Styela clava: one gene and its partners. The main gene of each other region encodes a partner of the protein of the gene in region 2 in a complex. Links are inferred from orthologs where the notes say so. Each region holds a gene or a part of one and is shown on either strand. Other genes may lie near its edges.

Evidence for each region.
Region 1: the proteins of ubiquitin-conjugating enzyme E2 G2-like (region 2) and lipid droplet-regulating VLDL assembly factor AUP1-like are in contact, whole or in part, in a crystal structure (PDB 7LEW), measured with the Homo sapiens proteins. The link is inferred for Styela clava from reciprocal best matches to the Homo sapiens genes UBE2G2 and AUP1. Residues at the interface, in NP_003334.2 of Homo sapiens: Tyr13, Thr17, Pro20, Gly23, Ile24, Val25, Ala26, Gly27, Pro28, Met29, Asn30, Glu31, Glu38, Leu40, Met42, Glu45, Glu50, Phe51, Val53, Pro55, Lys156, Val159, Gln160, Ser162, Leu163, Leu165; in NP_853553.1 of Homo sapiens: Ser379, Arg382, Gln383, Leu386, Arg389, Lys390, Leu393, Tyr394, Tyr396, Ala397, Arg398, Arg400, Phe401, Thr402.
Region 3: the proteins of ubiquitin-conjugating enzyme E2 G2-like (region 2) and E3 ubiquitin-protein ligase AMFR-like are in contact, whole or in part, in an NMR structure (PDB 2LXP), measured with the Homo sapiens proteins. The link is inferred for Styela clava from reciprocal best matches to the Homo sapiens genes UBE2G2 and AMFR. Residues at the interface, in NP_003334.2 of Homo sapiens: Tyr13, Leu16, Thr17, Pro20, Gly23, Ile24, Val25, Ala26, Gly27, Pro28, Met29, Asn30, Glu31, Glu38, Leu40, Met42, Glu45, Glu50, Phe51, Val53, Val159, Gln160, Leu163, Gly164, Leu165; in NP_001135.3 of Homo sapiens: Ser574, Ala575, Arg578, Gln579, Met581, Leu582, Arg585, Lys586, Leu589, Leu590, Ala593, Arg594, Arg596, Phe597, Leu598, Lys600.

The regions. Positions count from the first base shown.
Region 1 is NC_135262.1:5,698,168-5,705,582, forward strand, and holds lipid droplet-regulating VLDL assembly factor AUP1-like, read right to left. Parts: upstream 2,494-7,415; 5' UTR 2,356-2,493; coding exon 1,276-2,355; 3' UTR 517-1,275; downstream 1-516. Other genes in the region: FACT complex subunit SPT16-like, read right to left, coding at 4,311-4,411, 5,393-5,591, 6,325-6,454, 7,354-7,415. UniProt on the Homo sapiens protein: Plays a role in the translocation of terminally misfolded proteins from the endoplasmic reticulum lumen to the cytoplasm and their degradation by the proteasome. Plays a role in lipid droplet formation. Induces lipid droplet clustering.
Region 2 is NC_135261.1:20,878,160-20,885,982, forward strand, and holds the start of ubiquitin-conjugating enzyme E2 G2-like, read left to right. Parts: upstream 1-4,744; 5' UTR 4,745-4,968; coding exon 4,969-5,002; intron 5,003-5,959; coding exon 5,960-6,041; intron 6,042-6,847; coding exon 6,848-6,966; intron 6,967-7,816; coding exon 7,817-7,823. UniProt on the Homo sapiens protein: Accepts ubiquitin from the E1 complex and catalyzes its covalent attachment to other proteins. In vitro catalyzes 'Lys-48'-linked polyubiquitination. Involved in endoplasmic reticulum-associated degradation (ERAD).
Region 3 is NC_135257.1:56,095-63,498, reverse strand, and holds the start of E3 ubiquitin-protein ligase AMFR-like, read right to left. Parts: upstream 3,061-7,404; 5' UTR 3,014-3,060; coding exon 2,767-3,013; intron 1,241-2,766; coding exon 1,098-1,240; intron 49-1,097; coding exon 1-48. UniProt on the Homo sapiens protein: E3 ubiquitin-protein ligase that mediates the polyubiquitination of lysine and cysteine residues on target proteins, such as CD3D, CYP3A4, CFTR, INSIG1, SOAT2/ACAT2 and APOB for proteasomal degradation.

The DNA of each region.
Region 1 (7,415 bases), on a different chromosome or scaffold from region 2:
GGTCGCCGCAGGTTTTGTTATACAAACAAGATAATAGCTGATAGGGCTATTATTGTCGGACAAACAGTGTCAAAAAAAAAAATTCAAAAATTGTCATGACACTCGAATGGCTTTGATTTTCATCACTACATAGGTACCCAGTTCCTTATCCTCATATGAAGTAACCAATTTCTTTTCTGAAACGTTTTTAATTGAGTTGTTAATTGACTTCCTCGCAAGCCTCACAGCGTTTAACTAACGTCATGAAGCCAATAAAATGCTTTATTTAGATGTTTTCAAACATTATACTAGACCGAATTGACAGTCTTTAATTGGAAAATAAAATAGCATACCTCACGGAAAACTCAACGAAAATATTATTTAGTTGTATATATATTGAATCAGATCTATTTCCTAGTTAGATGTCTTATTTTTCCCCAATTGAAAACAAAAAAGGCCTAAGACAGATACCTGAAAACAGAAGTCCCATCAATGAGACTATGACTACCGAATAAGTCACAGCAAAAACACACAACATAAGCATATAAACTTTCAATTATATTTCACAAAGCAACAAGTGTTATAAATTTACTCTTAAATAACTTTGAAAACACCAACACAACTTCAGTCATAGAGTTGCATATTTGGTGGCCAGTGTCCGAGTCAAATATGTGTAGTTGTGCAAGAGAATATTCAGCATGACATATTGTCAAGTTTTTCAGTGGTATTATAGTCTGGTATGTCATTTCAAACTGCACAAATCAGGAGTAAGAATTGTAACCAGTTTTAGAGTACTGAAGAATTAACAAGTGGAGCAAAATTATGGCTTGATCGATGTTTGAAAAGATTCTTATGGCCACCACATGCATATAAGAAATCAAGACAAACCAAAAAACACACAAGCCACCCGCTCTGTGGCGCTCTGTTTTTACAGCTAATGCACATCTCATTGAAAATTAGGTCTTCGATGTATTCAGATTGCACTGAAATTCTATAAAACAGCGAGTATAAAAATATTTAGCAATACAGCTTGTTCTGCTATTCCAAATTCATGGCAGTAATGTAGTCTAAAATTCAGGTTTTAATTTCAATTATTTTACATGCCAAACTTTTCAAATCTCATTAATAGACAATAGACATTTTTAATAAATAGTACATAGAAATTCAAATTCTGGATATTTTTAAATATTGGTCTGTTCAGTTCGGCATCCATAACGGAAACGAAGATTCCAAGTTTCTCCAATGATTTTGACAGAAAATCCAACATTGCACATGGATGACAATACTTGATAAGCGTTACAATTCATGCTTTTCCTTGTACCTTTTTCTCGCCATCTCATACATTTCAGCTTTCCTTTTTTCCAGCAATGACTGTGGTGATGGCTGTTTCACTTTTGGTTGTTTCTTTGGCTTCGGTTTAATAGGTGAAAATTTAACAATACCTTCAAATATATTTGTCAATGTCACATCAATAGAATTAGTTTTGGCTAAATCATTCAAAATGACATTTCGTGGAACATGCGGTACAATCTCTTGCACTTTACTGGCCATATGGAGAAGTTTTTGACTCGCATTGGATATTGCCCTTTTTTGAGCTTCTCTTTGTCGCCTCAAGTTTTCAAAATATTTATTTTTGTCCTGACAAGAGATTGTTAAAACTGGAACCCTCAACATGTTTGATATTTGTGTCATTGTTGAATTTAAAAAATCATTTTCACTCATATTGTCATCTCTTTTAACGACTGTTTCTGACAGTTGAATTGTATATGAGGTTACAGGTGTAAAAAGCATCCAAAACATATCACCAATCAAAGTACTATGTGCAGTGGCAGTAGAAATTGGCAGGATTCTATATGTTGAGATTGCACCAACTTGAACACAGTTTGTTCTTTTGAAGTAAGAAGTTTCAAACTTTAATATTCCAGCACCAGTAGTTGGACAACCTTCTGGGAAAATGACAATCGGTAATGTCTTACCCGCAACAATATTTTTAAAATTTTCCAATCGTAGTATTTTTCGCATAAATGGCCCCAAGTTCCACTTGTTCTCACTTACAACATTAAGTCCATGGCTGAATATAAATCCATCAATGTTTGACTTTTGATTTGATATTAAAACGTTTGCACATATTGCTCCATTCACGCTAACTTTAACACCGAGTATAACCATATATATCCAACTTATATTCTTGAATACAGGATTGTTTTCTTTCATAATTAATTTCAATAACTGCCTTGCGATAACAAAGTTCAATAGCAGGCATATTCTCAGAAGGAAGAGCAATATTCCAATGGGAAGATATGCAAAAACAAGTACACTTGACTGAATGTTCGGAATCCGATCAGTCGAAAACATTTTTTGAATTTCTCTATCCATTTTTCTCTTCTTAATTATATATGGAAGTTGCAAAACTATTAATTACAATAAATTCAAGAATATAATCTGAAAATATAAATTTCAACGCAATTGAAGGCAGTAAATAAAATGAAAAAATACGAAATACAGCCTTGTCTGCTTGTATGGATCCCCCGCATTAGAAAGTCTACCCATCTGTCCTACAGCAATAGTTCACAAAAAATGAGATATTCTGAGTGTACTGTATCCTTTTATCCTATCCAAACTTTATAAACAGACAGGGCAAAAGGTCCGGAAAATTGACAAGTTTCAAAAGAGATTTAAACATCAAGTACTACAGGTCTTTGATGCATTTTGTAGACTATTCATTTTGATCTCCAATAAAAGCACGGAGCTGCGATATACCGTACAGAACACAATGCTTTAAAATATTATCTTAAAGTTTGCCAAACCATAAATACCTAATCATACCGGTACCGTACTGTATTGAGTTCTTTTGCGTAAAGGTCACTGTAGTAGCTCTGACATCTGAACAACGTTATGCCATCAGAGTATGAAATTTCATATACAACTACAGGCTAGGCAGGAATGCCAGTTACGGCTACAGCCAACAGCTTCCCGGTCTCTCATAAATATCGCTTATTGATTCTTAGCGCAGTCACGTGACTACGCGGCTGGCGATAGGACTTGTCAATGTGAAATAGTGTCCGCAAATATTTTTGCCCGACTGGATGATTTACCCACCAACCAACTGAACGGACATGTCTCACTATAGAAAAGTATATGCTGTATTAACAAATCAGTTACTGTAGTATGCTAGCCCGTATGTGTACAAATACACGCAAATTCGGAAAACTGACTCGGGTTCTGGTGTTTTAATCGAACAGATGTTTCCAGCACCTGCATAAGTTCACACACACACTACCATTTTTCATGCATGGAAAACGTTATAAAATTGACGATCGGTTGATTTCCTTGTTATAGACTCTGTATGATATTTTACCATATATCGACAACTGTAACCCTAAAGTGACCAACACAACCAAACTACTATTAATTGAAATATTGTATGCATTTACTACAGTTGGTGTCAATGATGTATATTTAATTTGCATGCGAGGTAAAATGCTTTCTCAAATTCAGCGCTGCTGTCGGTTGTCACAGCAAGTGAGATTCGCCCAACTGTGCCCGGGCAACCACGGCGTGGCCACAGCTTACTCCATCATCCATATACACGGAAATTGGTGAACGGTTACCAGATATGGTTCGCCACCACCTACCTTAGATTTTCCATGACAAATATGTATATTCATTTCAGTGGTGATACGGCAAAAACGTTAGGAAGATTTATTTGTATTGATTCTATCCTACTGTTCCGCTAAAAATCCCCCTTAAAATCTTAACCACATCAAGAAAATTGCAAAATACAAAACTAGTTATTACGATGTTCAGCAAATGGTATCAAACAAGTAGAGACCACAGATAATATTGAGAATATTCTTGTTGGAACATAAACACTAACAACTGCTATAGGCCGAGAAGAAAAAGACCAGAAATTTAAAGAACCAATGGCAAATCTAATCAAAGTTTTGACATGTACGGACTCGGAAAAGGAACATATTTTGGCAGCATGATAAGAACAACTTATTAAAAGAAGAAACACAGACTAGAAATGATTAGCTATGTGGAGAGAAAGATAAGCAGACCCTTTTAGCAAAGATAGACACAAGTTACCATAAGTATATTACCACTTAGTTACTTTGAGAGTGCGTGACAGTTATTTTAACATGTTGGTATGAGCAGTCTATTATGGCAGTCAAGTTCGTAACTATTATACAAAACACAAAAATATTTACAAAAGCGAAACTCTGAGGTACAAAAAATTTCCTAGTGTTGAAAAATACAAGCACAGAATTTCACTCTCGCTAATGTAGCGAACACCAACATCTTCAGCATTGATTGGCTGAAACTAATTTTTATTTTCGCTTCTTGTGTGATTTTCGACTTCCACTATGATCCCTCTTTCTTTTTTTCGAAGAACTTGTGACTACCTCCTCTTCATACTGTCCTCGATCAGCTGTGACAAAAGCATGATGCATTTATGTTATCATTATGAACCAGAAAATATCAATATTGTATCAAACCAGATGCCCTATATGGCAGAATACCTTGGTCGGTGACCGTACATTTGAACCCATGTACATTTGAACCTATGCGTATATCCACGGGTTCAATCTATATGCGGGTGCTAAAACCCATGGGTTAGGGTTAGTATGGGTTTAACTATCCGTGAAACAAAAAAAATTCCATAGGTGCAATAGCATACAGGTGCAATTGTCATGGGTTCAAATGTACGTGGGTTCAAATGTAATGGAACCACCTTGGTCTTAAGAAGGTGATCACCCTTTTTTAGTTTGAGGTTTAAAATTTCGTAGTTATAATTGAAACAAGAAAGCGATGCCTCAATAGATGGACACAAAGGCCAAAAGAAAGTGGTACGGTTATGCAGTCAGTCACAGTAGACTACAGGTACCACAGTGTTCATGACCCTCGCCTGACCACCAGACAAAACAGAAGACAACAGTCACGATGTCATAAAAAACATAACCCCATCAAAAAATAAATGAAACAGCAAAATTTTAAATGAAATATCAGATCTCATGGGAAATTTAAGCACAAAAGTAATAGCCTTCTAGCGACAACAACCATCTTTAATCACTAAAACACTCTAAATTTCAAAGCAATTGGTCCAGTAATAGAAGCGAAAAATCACAAAAAGATAAAGAAAAATACTAACAACAACCTAATAACAAAACGATTCCTAAATACACTTTGTGTTCAATAAGATTACTGATTGAATCATTGTTAATTGATAGAGATTGAATATTATGGTAATTCAAATGGTGCATATGTTTTTGACTGACCATCAGATGTTGTTCACCCTAAATCACATTTTCCAAATAAAGTATTCCACAATTTATTCCAATGTCAAATTAACCCCACACAATATCTATAAGATAGTAGAACAAAAATACAGCATCAATGATTAAGTTCTTACCCCGTTTTGCTTCCTCTTCTAATTCATCCCAGTCTTTCCCGCTTTCTTCTCCACTTCCTAAAGATTCTTCATCAAAGGATGATTCTGCCTCACTTGAATAATCCTCATCACTATCTTCATCTGTCTCGGATCCTTCCGCTTCAGAGCCATCCTCTGGAACAAACTCTTCTTCTTCTTCAGAATCATCTCCAGCATCCTCCTGGTTTGAAACAAAGAATTTCAAGGTTTAAATACTCTGCCTTAAATTCTTCTATCATCAACCTTATGGATTTGCAAACATTAATGATTTATCCCAGAGTTTATCCAACCCGACCTTTCCATGAGGGCCACAAAGCGAATATTGGGGGTGATTTTTCTAGGTGCCATAGGACCAAGGTTTTATACTCTAAATTCTCTCATTTCAAATCTTCTTTCATCCAAGTCAATGTATCTGCAGCCATTATTGAGTCAGCTTGAGTTTTTTTTCAAACTGGGCTTCTTTCTCCGAAGGGCCACAGAGGAGGTTTCTTGGGGCCATGAGTGAAGAATGTCACTAGGTGCTATTTCAGATTAGTGTTGAGAGACCATGAAGCATAAAAGTATAATAACCACTAGATATCTACCATATCCCTTTTCCGAAATATAAAAAATACGTTAACGTTACGCCAGGCGGCGATTTGCTAAGTGCGCCCCGAAAATGTCCAGAATTGGGTTAAACATAACTTGAACATTGAATATTTAATATATTGTACTTGTTTTTATTGTTTCTTACTTTAAATGTGTATGTGAATCAATAAATTAAATTTACCTTTTTATGTCGTTTACTCACTGTTACGACCACAAAGTAAAATTTTATTTAAAGGCAGCAATTTTTTTTCATGTAAGTGCGCCGAACGAATGACAAGTTTGGGAACCGCTGTGTTAAGCAATGGATTATCGTAGAATCAACTTACGTCACTCTCAGGTTCAAGGAAGCTCCATCCACCCTGATCAAAGAAAGCTTCGGGATCATCAACAATTGTCTTCAATATTTTTGCCCAGTTCAAAGACTGTACTCCGTCAGTGTAACGAATGTCACATGAGCTAGCAAAAATGAAAAGTTTGATCAGACAAAACAATTCCAATCTTCCTAGGCACCATAATGTTCTTCGCCAGATCTGGCCATATAATTTGTCTCAAATCAAACTAATATTTGCATAAATTATTGCATGAAAAATAGTAAATTTGAGAATCGGACCTTTTGATAATTATTAATTTCTATAATTAATTTCTTCACAAAACCAGAAACTATTCTTGTGACACGAAATCTCATTTTCAATTAGCTTACGAGAGCAAAACATAAGAACAGAGTTCACATCCTGCTTTGAATGTGATAAAGATGTTTCTACACCTAATGTACACAGACTCAACTATGATAAATAATTTCCCAATCAAAATACATATTTTGTGCTACTGTTGCATAATAACTAAACTACGAGTTATTTGACGGGTGAGTTTTATTTAAGGGGGATGAGGAAAGATATGGACTCGAATCGATTCGGACAGTGGTTTTCAAAGGTGGGACACGTCAAGGCGGGCGTAGACAATTTTCTGAGAGGGCGTGGAGCTAATTAAAAATAAAAATATTTGTTAGTTTTGATCTTGTCTGGCTTATTTTGGATATTTAAATTTCAAAACTTTCATCTATTTCATTATTTACGTTCCATCCTCGTATTTTCAACGTGTTTTTTGAATAAAATATACTTTCACCTTACTATCCGTTATTTGTAGCCTATTGTTAGCCAGTTTTTTTGAGGTGGGGCACGAAACTTGACAAATTATAAAAATGGGCCGCGTGACTTTGAGATCCACTGGTCTGGAAGTACGGTCGAGTACAGATAAAAGTATCTGCAAACTCGGAGATATTTCTAAAGCCTAAATCGTGTTCTTTCAGATTGGTATGTAAGAATTCGCAACATCGCTAACATTTATTCACGACTTACTTTAGCCATTCTCTGATTGGATCAAGCGATTGCATTGGTATGGAATTGATGACTTCTACTTT
Region 2 (7,823 bases):
TGAATTTAGTGTGTGTATTCATTTTTGCACAACACATTTCCCCTCAGCTATCAGCCGCTTGCCGCCTTCTGCGATTGTCGTCCTCCCACTCACCACGATCTTCGCTTTGCCCAGCCTAGGCGGCCAACGCTACCGTTCGTAGTTTTTAGTCGTTATTTTGGTCGTTCTTTCTTTTTTCCATGTGTGCCTTTTCAATTTATTATGCATTAATCTATTATAACATGTATTTGTTAGAGGTTTTAACATTTATTTATATTTTATACAAATATGATTTCCGATTTTTTTGATGGGTGGGGGGGGGGGGGGGAGGGGGCGAACGAATTGAGGCATCTATAGGGTATTATGCATTCCTACTTACGAATTATTTTGATCACGAAACTACTTCCAGGACGAACCAATTTGTAAGTGGAGTTTCTACTACTTTGATTCCCTACGAATCCATCGAGATTTTCTCTAATGTCATCAAACTTCAAGTCAGGTAGGTGTATATATTTACGCTTTAACTAGATTTTAATACATTCAGACGGAAATTCAGGAAAGTAAATCCAATAGAGAGAGTAAGTCAAAGGAGAAATGTTTAAATAAAAAATATGAATGGACTCGAGAGAGAAATGAGCAGCGCCTTACGCACAGTCGGGATTGCTCGCAACGAGACGTTTCAGCTACCAACCTCTATCCGGCTCGGCGGAATGACGCATCGTGCTAAGCGTTAGGAATACGCTCGCCACCGCATCTCTGATTAGGCTACCCTTCCGGAGATCGCAGGTTCGAATTCCATGCGGGGATGATCATGCGCGAGAGGATTGCTGGACTCCTCGCCGCCGTAGGGTGGTTCACGTAACCGCTGGTCGTTTACGGCTTCCTCCACCATCAAGTTCATGCTTCCGAAAACAAATAACTGGCTAACTAATCCCATACCGGACCTGGACTGGTAACCGGACGAGAGGCCGTGGTTTGCCATATGATTAAGCCGTCTTATCGGCTTTCCTCTGCCACGGGATAAATATGTAAATCCTATCCTAAATTCATCAAAAAAAAAAATCTAGTGATGCCATAATCCGCATTTAAAGTGCTACCTGACAACATGTTGTTATGTCATTATGGTTATGCAATATCTCTAGTCCGTGACTCATCCCAAATTGCGCACTGAGCCCCATTCGAACTGTTTCCTACCCCTCTTCTGTCAGTGTCACCAATGACATTAAACAACATGATAGGCAACTCTGACGTCACTCCATAAGACTACAGGCAAAACATTGTATTTCATGATACGCTCCAATGCACATATTTCTCGTCGCCTTTCGCGTCCGTTTTCCGCTCGCTTTTGCTACTCGGCGTCTTTTTTACGTGTAGTACCTGCCTTTTTGCGCCTGTAACGAAACAAAATAATCTCTATATCTAAGAAGTTTTGCTTACTTGGAAAGCTGGAATAACAGGCAAGCTGTAAAGAGCAATTCTGGACATCATAGACTTTTTTTTTTTATCAGAGAAGATTACAAACGCGATAGCGGAAAGATTTGTGTGGAACATTTTGCAGATAATGACAAAGTTCAAAGTTAGTAATTTTAATGTTTGCGCTTAATCATTGAAATTTCATTTAAAGAGGGTGTCATACAAAACTGTGCTGCGATACAATTCCATAACACAAAGTTTGCACCTATCGAACTTGCTTTTGTAGGTGAATTTATTAGACATATTACATATTCAGTTAATCGTAGGTAACATTGCTGGTACATAATGCATCTTAGATAGGTTTGTTTAAATTTAGGAATTTAGCTCATAGCCCACTAATTAATATTATCTTCTATGCAGGAGGTTGCAGGGCTGAATTCAACTTGCAGCCTTACCGATCACCTGACGATGCTCATTTAGTTTGGCTCGAGCAAGTCTTCTTGAAATGCTTGTGTGAATGGAAACTACCTATATTTTTTGCCTTCCTCCGATTTTAGACAAATTTATTCTGAGGGATTTCGCATATAATTCTCACTGATTGTTGGCTGTTTATAATTCCTATTGATTGTGAATTCTGATTATAACAATGAGTTGAAAATTTTTTTACCTAATTTACTGGCACCTTTTTCTTGTCAATACTCCAAGCTGAGGTAATAAACATGACAATACATTTATGTCATCTGGAAGCAAAATATGCACACAAATTAATAGTTTGGCACATTGAGATAATACATCATGACAGAAAATACAAGTTAAAGATATGTATGACCATCACATGGTAATTAAAATTAAAAAAAATTAATAGGGGCTGTGGAGTATGGAAAGTTCAAGACAAAGAAAAGAACAAATGTTCATAGAACATAGCTCATATATTGTGATGCAACTAAACAGTTGGATTAAGTTTTATTATTTTCTTCAATTTCAAATGCAATTACATATTAATATTTGCATTCCACTATTATTGCAACATTTGCAAGTTACAGTATTTATTATAAAAAATTGTAAAATTCTATGTACAACCATCAAAATCATTTTTGAACAAGCTTTGAATAAGTAAAGAATAATACATACACTAAAAATAACTTAATCTAAATATATGAACCTAAAATTAACAAAAATACTACAGTATAAACTCAATGTTTTAATAATTACATTCGTCCTGGCGTTTGGCATCTTTTTTGTGTCACCAGCATACTAAGGCCAGTCTGAAATGATTTTATAGTACCAACTCTAACTAACGAGGCCACATGATCATGGGTTTATCTGGTTCTTTACGAATGTTTAATTAATTCCAGTAATGCAAAAAAGTTACTTTTATCATTTCATGTATAGATCAGTAAAAAAACAAATGACAGATTTTTTCGACAAGACATTTCGCACTACCTTGCGTGGCATAGGATTGCTTGAATTATTATTGATATTGATTTTTAGTAACTAAGTCGTTGTATAATTATATTAATATACAAACACATGGAAATTTTCTGTTCGAAGTTGGTCTTCGAATTTGTCATATTGACTGCTGAGCTTATTGTGTTTTTTGATTGTATTGATGGAAATATGACAAATTAAACAATGTGCTTCAGAATTTTGTGAAGAGCAGAAATGTTACAACTCCCATTTTCTTCGAAAATGCCACCTTCTTCGTGTACTTTGCGTTTAATTTAATTACTCAAGTGTTTTATTCAAGTATTCTTTTGCTAGCTTGATGTGTATTCTTAATTGGGTCAAAATGTGGACAAAAAAAATTAATATTCCAAAACTACTTTCAGTAAATTGTTTTCTGTGTGAATAATCAATTTCACTTTAGAAGGTTTGAAAAATCTATTACATTTAGATAAAAAAAAAACTTCCAAAATACTATTACAATTATTGTTAAGCGTTCGAGGGCCGCACTGGAAGTTCTCTGGGGCCGCGAGTTTGAGATCCCTGGTCTAGATTGAAGTTGTTCAAAAAATATATGATAGTATTTTATCATGAATGATGATTATACCCCTTCCGGAATTTCTTCTATAGTACTACCAAAAGTTGATGAACCAAATATAACACAGGTGCAGTGAGGTACCCGTAATCCTCATTTCCAAAGCTGTTTTAAGTATGTCTGGCGTGTTTTGTGCCTTTTTACAAATAAGACCGCTTATGCAATCTTACGCTTTGGAATTTTTAGTTATTTTCCTCAAGCCCTGCAGGATGTGGGGGCCATACACAACTCTACCGGAGGGTCAAATGTCTTTGGATGCCTCCATAGGTTGTTTTTCTATTGCAATTTTCAATTGCATTATATTTCTTGGAATCACACTGTCACTGATATGTCGCCAGACTTCTGATATCTCCCCGTCTGCTATAGTTGTCCTGTGAATAAATAATAGGAAATTGAGATTAGACGAATAGTTGAAAGTTTTGCTTTATGTCGGCTTAATTTCTTGATTGATATACTTACTATTTCTGCTATTGCCTCTTGTGCTGCAAGAGTCTCACAATGCTTAGACAGGTTTGTCCACAACTTTCACATCTGAAGAAAGAGAGGAGATTTATTAATTTTTGTTAAGAATAAATAAAGCAGTCTATATGATTCAGAATGGAAAAGCTAATAAATCCAATATCTCATGTTTTATTTAAAAAATATTTTACTGAATTTTGGAAAATAAACCAACTAATAAAAGGGTTTAGTCAGAAAATTACAAGCATTCGTGGCTCCAAATACTTGAGAAATCAGACTATACAATATAGACCGGTATGAGTGAAATGTTAGGTGAACTTGTTAACACTTTGATTCAATACGCAAATAAAAGTGAATGCGTAATAGTATGTTACAATGAGCAGCAATCAACAATGAGTATATATCCTCACTGATTAAAAAAATCTAACTGGAGGTGCATGAACTATTTGAAACCATAAGGAGTAAGTAAATATGTAATTTCGGCAAATGGGCAACTACGTACCGTACTGAATTAATAACTTCGTAGTATTTGACAAAGGCTGGCTTTCCCACATGTACTTAACAGTGCGATGCCCGGGTGTGATATACAACAATAGTATTCACCTTACCTTTTACCGATTTCTTTTTACCTTACTTTCAAAAATATCATTAAAATCGACAACAACTGTCAAAGCAGGCACGAACACCATTCGTGCTACGCCTTGAAAGCAGCACACATCCGCTCGTTTTCGTCTCGACAAGTATGTGCATTGGAGCGTGCTATCGAATACGATCTTCGGACAAAAATGCCGGAGTTGCGCATCATGTTGTTATATGTCATTGGTGTCACTGAGGTGTCACATTTTAGGCACCGCGTCGTATAGCTTCCCGTCAAATTTATACAGTGCCTGCACCTCCACTCCGTCACTTCAGTACCGATACTGGTACGCGTGCTACGCCTTTATTTCTTGATCTACAGATCTATCGATTGCAGTTTCAGTGAGTTGGGATAGGATACTCGTAGACTACTCAAGTTTTAATTATTTAGTGTTCTGAACAAGATATTTTTTCGAAGATAAGGGTCACACTAAAATTTCAAGATGGCAGCAAAACGACTTATGGCTGAATACAAACGTAAGTTTTGAAGTAACTCCAATCTCATATTTAGTACCGGTAGCGGTACGGTACCGGTACCATATCGGTACTGGTACGTTATTGCACAAATACGGTACTGTATGTACTGCCGCATATGCTTCTCAACCTGAGTACATGGCTTGGAGAGGCGTCAACTTTGCATTATTATAGTAATATCATCCCAGTTTCCATTAAGTTAGATGTTAAATCACTGTACCTATAGTGACAAAATTGGTGAAATTCAATAGATGAATATTGAATGATTTTTTATTTTGAACTGCATTGCGGTGCCAGTAAATACGTACGGCCATACCGGTACCCGGAACCGGTCCATTTGTTGAAATTGTGCAGATTCTGACATTACAGCATTATACGACAAAAAAAACCGATATCCCGATCCATGTTTGTGCATAGACTGTTACAGTGTTATGAAACATGCAATCTATTTACAGAGCTAATTTTTTTTCAGTAACAATTTTTTGTCACTGTGTTATTTTTGCAATGGAATTGAACTACAGCATCACCATTTTACGTCAACGAGTGTTGTATATTCCATATTTTTGTAGGAAAAGCACTGTTGTGATACACATACCATAGCCTTGCATTCCATCCTATCAAAGTGTATTTATCAAAGTGTATTTATTAATTGGGACCCACCGAGTGTTTATGTTATGTTTGAAACCCGAACGATACCCATTCGTGTCTTATCATTTTTATTTTGCATATATGTTTGTGTGTTGAATGTGAGTAAACTGGCGCATGTATATTTACATGTATTGAACCTTTATAAAGGTTTTGCCAGTTTCCCCGATTTTCCCGATCTTCTGTGTGTTCATTGTTTGTGTTTTGTGTATGATTTTTTTTGGCGGGGAAATCAAAATATACTTACTTATACATTCTTGCTTTGAAATATATTTGAAAGTTTATACTTTCATGTATGCATATATACATTTTTAGAGTTGGCGACACAAGCACCGGAAGGAATTGTTGCTGGGCCAAAGGAAGAAAGCAACTATTTTGAATGGGATGCTTGTATAATGTACGTATACATTTTTATATTCAGTCTGTTCAGTACTTTGGTTAGCGTATAAAATACTATGCTTCAAAATACTTTTATTCTTGTAGCAGGAACATCCCAACTAAGAGAAAGTTATTGAAACTTTAACCCATAGTTTTAAAACATAGGTTCAGCTTAAGTATTTCTCGAAGTCAAAGTATGTTTTTTTATGAACATACAGAAACTAATATACTCAAAATTACTCTTGTTATTTATTCTTAGATTTTCTGATAACTTAATTCTCTAAATTGGTTGAATATCTCATTAGAAATCTCCATTTATGCCATGATCTCAAATCATACATCATGTGAAAACAAATACATTCTATATAAATTGAAAATTTCGACTTCACTAAATCACTTGATATGAATTTATCTTAGATTCCTAAATGGACAAACCAAAATGAAAGTTGTATATATTTATTGCCAATTTGAATTTGACTGAACTTGTAATCCCAATTTAAATGTTCAAAAAATTGTATTCAGTCCAACAATTTTTTGTTTAGCCAACTTCGCCATAAATAGAAATGCAACATAACTTTCTGTATTTATTCTTTGAGCCCTTCATTTTTGGTTTTTGACTGATTTTGCCATGTTTGGAAGCGACTGCCCATATCTCCGGAAGACTTCTTCTTAGAGTACACTTCTTGAAAAAGCGCAACATGGCATAATCGGTCTGACAATTTTCCTAATGCAGAACAATGCAATGAAACCAACTCATTGCTAACACTTCAGCTACGAGTTAAAATAATACCACCAGAGTATGACTAAGCTTTATTTTTTTTATAGGGGACCAATAGGCACACCATTCGAAGGTGGAGTTTTTTCAGCTGTGATGACTTTTCCATCAGATTATCCTCTTAGTCCTCCTACAATGCGATTTACATGTGATATGTTTCATCCAAACAGTAAGATTTTGATATATCAGTTTAATAATCATTAAGTGCAATTTATATATATTTAATTCACTTTCTCAATTTAGACATCCAGATTACCTTATTATGAATAACATAACACTATGAATTTTACAGCAAGGCTACACATGCAAATGTTATATAGCAGAGAATGGTTGGTATTCTATTGATCATAAAACTTAGTTACCTCTGGATCTGGTAATTGTGTAGTGGTGTAGTCCTTTTGCATCTATACATATTTTGGTCCTTTGAAAATTATTTTGTATGATGAAATCAATTTTTTGTGTGATAGAACTAGGGCTGTGAGCTTGATTCGGAGCCTGTAGCTTGGGGCTTTGACATTTTGGTCGGGCTGGAGCCAAGCTAACATGTTAGATGGAGCTGGAGCTACCAGAAATGGATTTAGTGGATACCAGCTCCTAACGATCTAATTATTTTGAACGTTCATAATTTTCTGATACAAATAATAAAAACTATCCTTTTCAGCTCTTGAATTGTTATAAATTTCAACGTACAATATTGATTTGAGAGTTTCAAGTTGTCAATTTATATATTTAACACTTTGATTTTGAAACCCGTATATCATAGTTTTGAGTCCAGCTTCCACGAAACTGCATTGTGGCAAATATTTCATGATAGTGGTCACACTGGTTAAAAACCTCATTAGGTATGGAGTCGAAGCCCGGCTGAGATTATAAAAACAAAACTGCAGAGCGGAGCAACTGTGATTTTATTCCAGCTATCCAGCCGTGTACAAAACTAGAAGTTTTTTTAAATCACGTCATAATTTGTTTGTTAATAATTGGAAGCTGAAATATCTTCTTAATCTTTTCAATTCCAACAGTATATCC
Region 3 (7,404 bases), on a different chromosome or scaffold from region 2:
TCCAAACACAAATATGAATTTGTAGAATACAAAGTTCCAGAATTTGTCCTGTTGCCAATATAAAAATAATCAGTTAAATTTTCTATTGAACATTTTGTAATGGAAGCCATAAACTGTGACATGGACATAAACAAACTGACTAAATTATACATATCGTCGTTGTGTCGTACCTCTTTGTCTTGTGTATTTTACTTGAGTTGTATTTGTATAGCATATTTCATGCCCGTTGTCCTATTATAACGCAACAGTCCTAAACTGCTGTTATAATTGTTAGGGGTGTTGGGTAAGGTCTGGAACATGTATCCAGTCTCTGTTTTACTGTTTAATTATTATTCAGAGATTGTTACATTTTTGAGGCAAATAAACATACATACCTAATACCATGATTTTATCAATATAAAATATATTTTAATAATGACATCTTAACGTATCTTTAAAATTTTACAACAAAAATAATGTAACATCGAAAAATGGTTGTTTTCTCTCAGTAAACATTGAATTGATGGCATGAGGCAGACAGTACAGCAAACAAGCTGACTCATGCCTATTGATTTTATATAAGGGCATTAAATTAACATATTCAGAAATGAGACATGGTATGATGCAATATCAGTACAACTTTATATTATATTCATCATTATTCAGTTAGAATACATCCACCATTCTGTGTTATGTTCTCCATTTCAATTTTTAAATATTTAATTAAGTTCATAAGAATCAAAATTGCACTATTAACAAAAACAATACAATGGATATCTTTTTTTCTGAACTGTTCCAAAATATCTTTTCCTTCAATTCTATAAACCACATAAAAAGTGAAAGGCTACAGTACAAACTAATTCAAAACATAAAAATATTACTATTAATTTATCCTAGTTTAAAATAGAAATTTTACATTCACCCTTGTGGGCACTCAAAAAACAATAAAATGTTATGCGACAAAATAAAACCAGTGCATGGCACGATCAGATACAATTTTTAAGGTTTACAAGAATTTAAAAATTACATTAGTTTAGTCAATCAGATCACATTCAAACTTTTTTAGAAAGTTTTACACAGAGAAAAAAAAATGGTAATAGCCATGGAATATATCAAACCTTAATATGTTGTCTTTCTACAACTCTCAAGTTTCCAAATACAACTTTGAGAATAAATTTTGCGCCAAGTGCAAATAAACAATAAGCAGCATTGATTAACACACCAAGAGTAAGGGGCTCATCGAGCATGATTATTACAACTCCTGAAAAAAAGAAAACATTGGCAATCCAGAAATCAACTTATATAATATCTATGTTAGTTTGGCCTATCTATAGGGTCTGCTCTACCGTATCGTGCCCCATATTCTCCTCACACGAACAACCAATGAAATACAACTTTCAGAACAATTTATTTTATTTTACAACTGCAAATTTACACATCAATTCTGAGATTTGATCAAACTTGATGATACTTGAATAGATCCTATCCTATCTGGGTGAAATCATTAACACTTTGACAGGTTTACAGTAAATCAGATTAGATGTGTCCTTAGAACCAGATTTGCCCATATTGCAAATTTATATTCTCACTTGCTTTTACAAATACCTATAATGACTCATGGATCAAACTGGTCTTTTGAAGATGGTATTTCAATATATAAATATGGAGTTGAATGCCTAAAGAAGATTGTGACTAGTTCACATAACTACAGTTAAATCACACAACAATGCTAAATTTTTATAATAACAAAAGACAGTTGGATGATGAAAAGATTTATTATGTAACCGAGGATATTGGCATCCCACCAAGTTACAATCTGCTCATAATATGATCGTGTTTATCCACGACTGAAAACCTTCATAGTTCACATTAATAAAAATTGTATAAAAAAGTATTTGGCTTCACATTTTATTGACTAGACCAGGGTGGTCCAAGGTTGTTGGCTCCGGAGGCCACACAATTATTTTTGCATTGTTCGCAGGCCACAATAGTGCCAAACCACCAAAAACTTACTGAAACATACAAAAGTCTTTCTATATTTTTATTTATGGTAAGATTTCGAACTCTGTAAAACAGAAAGTGTTTCTGCAAATGTAAATGCTTCCGAACATCAAGGCCGAGGGTAATTACTAATATAGGCAGCATTTTTTGTAATTCTGTTTAGGATGGTCGCAATAAACACCCAACATGAATTATATTGTTAGACCATGACAATAACATTTAGTTATCAGGCACAGCCAACCTAGGCTAAAAGAATTGGCATTGAACTTAAGCTCCTTATGATGCTAAAATTGTTAGCATATTCCTGACCAAAAAGATAGAAGGACTGCCAAGAACATCATTCAACTTCACTAGTTGCCTCAGCTAGCCATAACATCGGACAATTCAGAGACATTGGTGGTGTAACAATATGTCAAAAGATTTTTCTGGTTAATTTTATGACGAAAAAACACTAAGTGCGATTTTTTGATTACTTCTCCGAATGCAGCATGGGCCAATATTTTTTTATGTCAGAAAATGAAATACAAAATCAAGAGTTATGCACTTGGAATGAATGGTCGACTAGAAATAACGGGTTTTTAAACAAAAAAAGTAGTAGTCAAATACAAATAAACAAGGTTTTCACAGAGAACGTTTGCTCCATGAAAAAAAAATCAATATTATAGATCTTGGTGTATGGTAAAGGATGATACAATGGACATCTACATGCAGTCGATTTTCCATTTACAAGCCAATCGTAATACAGTAATATGACAAATTAATAACTTCAAAAGCTTGGTAGCCTACCTTGAACATAAGATATACCGAACATGCCTCGTTCAGAAACAGAGGACATTTCAACATCTGGTTGTTGATGTGTATGAAACTTATCAACAGTCATTGATGGGTTTTCTGATTGTTTTGAATTCATTCTTGTGTGTTCCTTATCAGCCCAAAAAACAACTAATACAAGCAATAGAATGCTTGCTACTGTGTATAGCTGTATGCTTGGAAGCATAACAGGTATCCTTCGAAGGACAAAAGACGAAGGCATTTTACTTGTTTTTGCCTAACAAATACTTTCTGCAATTGTGGCACAAATAAAAAATTAATATTCCGGTATAGTCTACAGATAATGGGTTCCTTTAATAACCGGAACAGACCATAAATAACCGGAACTGGGAAGAATTTTTACATAAACCTACCAAAGATATCTTTCTGTCTTTCAAAGGACATTTTATATACATCTATATACGCCTACATCTAGGTGATTTTCCAGGTAAAACAGCAAACTTTGGGGGACAGTGGTAAAAACAAGTTCCTGCTGTCCTGCAATTATCGGAACGAAACCTAAATTACGATACCTAAACAGACCAAGGTTACCTTACTCTAGCCCAGTGATTCCCAAAGTGGGCGGTGGGCGAAAATGATACAGAGGGGGGCGAAAAAGTCAAAGGGGGCGATTTCACGAAACCTGATTTTGTTCGACGCATCGTGCACTTAATTCTGTACTCTGTGTGCATTCGCATGCTTGAATCACGGGGGCGATTATTACACGCCAAAGGATTACTGGACTCGTCTTCGCAGTAAGTTACGGTAGTTCGCGTATCGCTCGGCAAAATACGGCCGGAGTAAAATAATCTGCTCAGGGACGATTCACTGAATGGACCTTTCCCCGACCTTTGACCGCGAAAAATTCTTCCTGTTTTTTAAAAGTGACGATAAAGAATTTTAGCCTAGTCTATCACATATTATTTTACACTTTTTGATTACTGTATTTAAACTGAAACTCATAGGAAGACAAAGTAATCATTGACTTATATTAAATTTCCGAAAAACAACTAAAAACTAACAAATATATTTAAAAAAACGCGAAAATGAGGGTGTGTCTGAGCGGATGCGGAAGGGGGCATTGTTACGTTTATTTTTGCATCTTGCTGATTGCTGATTGGGCAATGCCACAAAGTAAACAAGGAAGGGTATGCCTGGGGAAACATCCAAACGGCGGTTTTGACGATGAATTAATTTTATTTATAATCTACGCTCGAGGAGTAAATTATATTTTTTAGACAACAGAATTTATCGTGAGCCTACTTTAGACCAGGGTTGTCAAACTCGCGGCCCGCGGGCCACATGCGGCCCCAGAGAACTTACAATGCGGCCCTCGGACGCCTAACAATAATTGTAATATTTTGTAAGTTTTTTTTTTTATCTAAATGTAATACATTTTTCGAACCTTTCAAAGTGAAATTGTTTATTGACACAGAAAACGACAATTTATTGAAAGTAGTTCTGAAAAATTAAAATAAAAATGTTTTTCAATTTGACCCAATTATGAATACACCTCAAGCTAGCAATAAAATACTTGAATAAAACACTTCAGGACTTCAGGGATTAAATGAAACGCAAAGTACATGAAGAAAATGGCATTTTTAAAGAAAAATGGGAGCTGCAATATTTCTGCATTTCTCAAAATACTAATGGAGCACATTGTTCGATTTGTCACATTTCCTCAGTACAATAAAGAATACAATATAAGTAGACATTATCAAAATATGCTCAGCAATCAATATGACAAATTTAGAGATCAACTTCGAAAATAAACTTTTCATGTGTTTGTATATTATTACAGTATAATTATACAACTACCTAGTTACTAAAAATCAATATCAATCATAACTAGAGCGGTCCTATGCCACGTAATGGTAGGAAATGTCGTGAAATATCTGGTCCGAAAAGTCAGTCATTTGTTTGTTTACGGATTTATACATGGGATGATAAACGTAATATTTTTGCATTACTGAAATTAATTGAACATTCTCAACAATCCAGATTAACCGACGATCATGTGACTTCGTTAATTAGAGTTGGGACTGTAAAATCATTTCAGCCTGATATTAGTAAGCTGGTTGCACAAAAGAGATACAAAATGTCAAGACATATGTAATGAAAAAACATTGAGTTTATTCTGTAGTATTTTTGTAAATTTTAGGTCTATATATTTAGATTCCGGTAAGTCATTTTTAGTGCATGTATTATTCTTCCCTTTACAAAACTTTGTTTAAAAATGTTTTGGATAGTTGTACATAAAAATTCATGATTTTTCGTAATTACGGTAAATTGCAATAATATAATTAATATGTAAACGTCATTTGAAATTTAGGAAGATAACAAAACTTTATTCAACTGTTTAATTGCATCACAATATATGTCACAAACTACACCCATCTAAAAATATGCTTCAAGTATACATTATCAAAATATATATATCAAAAACTGATTGCGGCCCTTTGCACAATTCCCAAAATGCAATGCGGCCCTCGGAAACCCACGAGTTTGACACCCCTGCTTTAGACTAAATTTTATTATATCCTGAAAATTCCATTGACCAGCTACTCGTTTAACGAGCCTACAATTTAATTATAATTAGACAAATGGAAACACGAAGAAAAGTTGATGCTGAGGCCTGAGGGCAGGGGTTCAATAGCGCAGTAAATATTCGAATATATCAGTATATTGCAATGCAATAGGGAAATAAAATTCATATTCTATTCGAGAGGTTCAATCACTGCTTAATTTTTGTAAAAATGTTAAAGAATATCTTTATCAAAATTTCACAAACCATGCGAAAATACTCACTTCGATGTTTGGAAGTACATATTTGTGCGCAAATTTATTTCCGAAAATGAACATTACAAAGAACAAGCAAAGAACTAGGTGATGAATTAGTGACGCCCATTTAGAAAAAGTACCAATCTTGGTGTCGTAAAGCTATCAAGCGTGATGCAGCAACAAGACAGTGTCACATTAAATGTCATTGTAATAATTTTTTAATAAGACGACTGAGTTGAATTCACGAATTGTCGCAGTTTTTGCGCACTGTTCCGTTTTTAACTTTAAAAAATAAAAGCGACCCGCAAAAGACTAGCAACTCTGAATTTTGTCCCGCGAGTGACATAAAATTTGCTGCCCCTGGGCCGTAGCCGATAGTCGGTCACGACTTCTTCCACATCCGAGTCCATGAATCCAAAAACAAATGGCTGATTAATTCTATGAACTGGAGATCGTGGTAGACTGAGGAATCGGGGATGAATTTTACCGAAGTATTTTGGTACAGGTCAAAAGGCTGTCTTGGCTGTAGGAATGAATTAGATGTACGATAATCATCATTATAAATTTGGGAAAATTAACTTTGTTTTCATTATTTTGTGGAAATGGGGTGAATTTAGGGAGTGAAATGCTATAATGCAAGTACCGTACACGGCGGTTTTTATGGAGGTAGAACCCTGAATTCTTTCATTTCTGACCTATTATATGGTGAAAAGGGGGTTTTCAACCGTGCTACTATTGCTATCAAAACAACGAAATCGCCTTTTCATCAGTAAACGGGTTAATTTTAGATATAATAAATAACTTGTTGAAGAACACCAAGCTCATCCATCTAATTAAAAAACACTATAAACTATGATTTGCCTTCCTTTTTGGTCTGTAATATATTCGTTTCAGACTTTACATTTTTTGTAGTGCAGGGGGGGCGATGAAGTTGTATAAACGGCTGAGGGACAACTCAACTACACGGACAACTCACCAGAGACAACTCGACTACCTACTGACCTAGAGGCCTGGTGAGTTGTCAGTCTTTTGGCATTTTCTACGGTGGTGTTTTAGGTCTATAGCAGGGGTCACCAAACTTTTTTGAACGCGGGCCGGGTATGACTCAAACTGTGTTGAAACGGGCCGGACAAATATTTTTGTCAAAAAGAATGAAATTGGACCAGTGCGCAAGGGATTACAGTACTGTTAGCGCAAAATGCACATTCGACGTTCATTTTAGCACGAAGACGTAAACAGTTTCGGCGAGTGCATCTTTCGCAGAAAACGTTGCCTCCCGGTAGAAAATTTTAGCCCATTTTGTCACAGCTATTTCTTAGACTAATTTTTCATTACTACTATTAAAACTACAACTCCTAAAGAGGCAAATGATGATTGACTTATTTGATTCATACGGTACTTAAATTTCCCAAACACAACCAGAAACTAACAAATAGCATTCAGAATCGCAAAAAATGAAGTATTTTTTACAACCACGACTGAAAATCTGTCAGGGTGACCAAAGTGTCTGAGCGGATGCGAAAAGGCCCATTATTACGTCATTTTTTCTGCATCTTGCTGATTGGCCAATGTTACGAAATAAACAAGGAAGACGATGCTCGAGAAAATTTTTCTTGGAAAAATATTTGGCCACTTTTGTGTGTTATTGCGGGCCGGATAAAATGACGACGCGGGCCGGATCCGGCCCGCGGGCCGTAGTTTGGTGACCCCTGGTCTATAGAAACGCGTTTTTGATATTTTTAGTCCTCAAATGTTGAGAAAAATACATAAATATGCTCTAGAAAGCATTTTTATTTGTATAAGTGGCTTATTTCGATCATGTTGTATGAATAC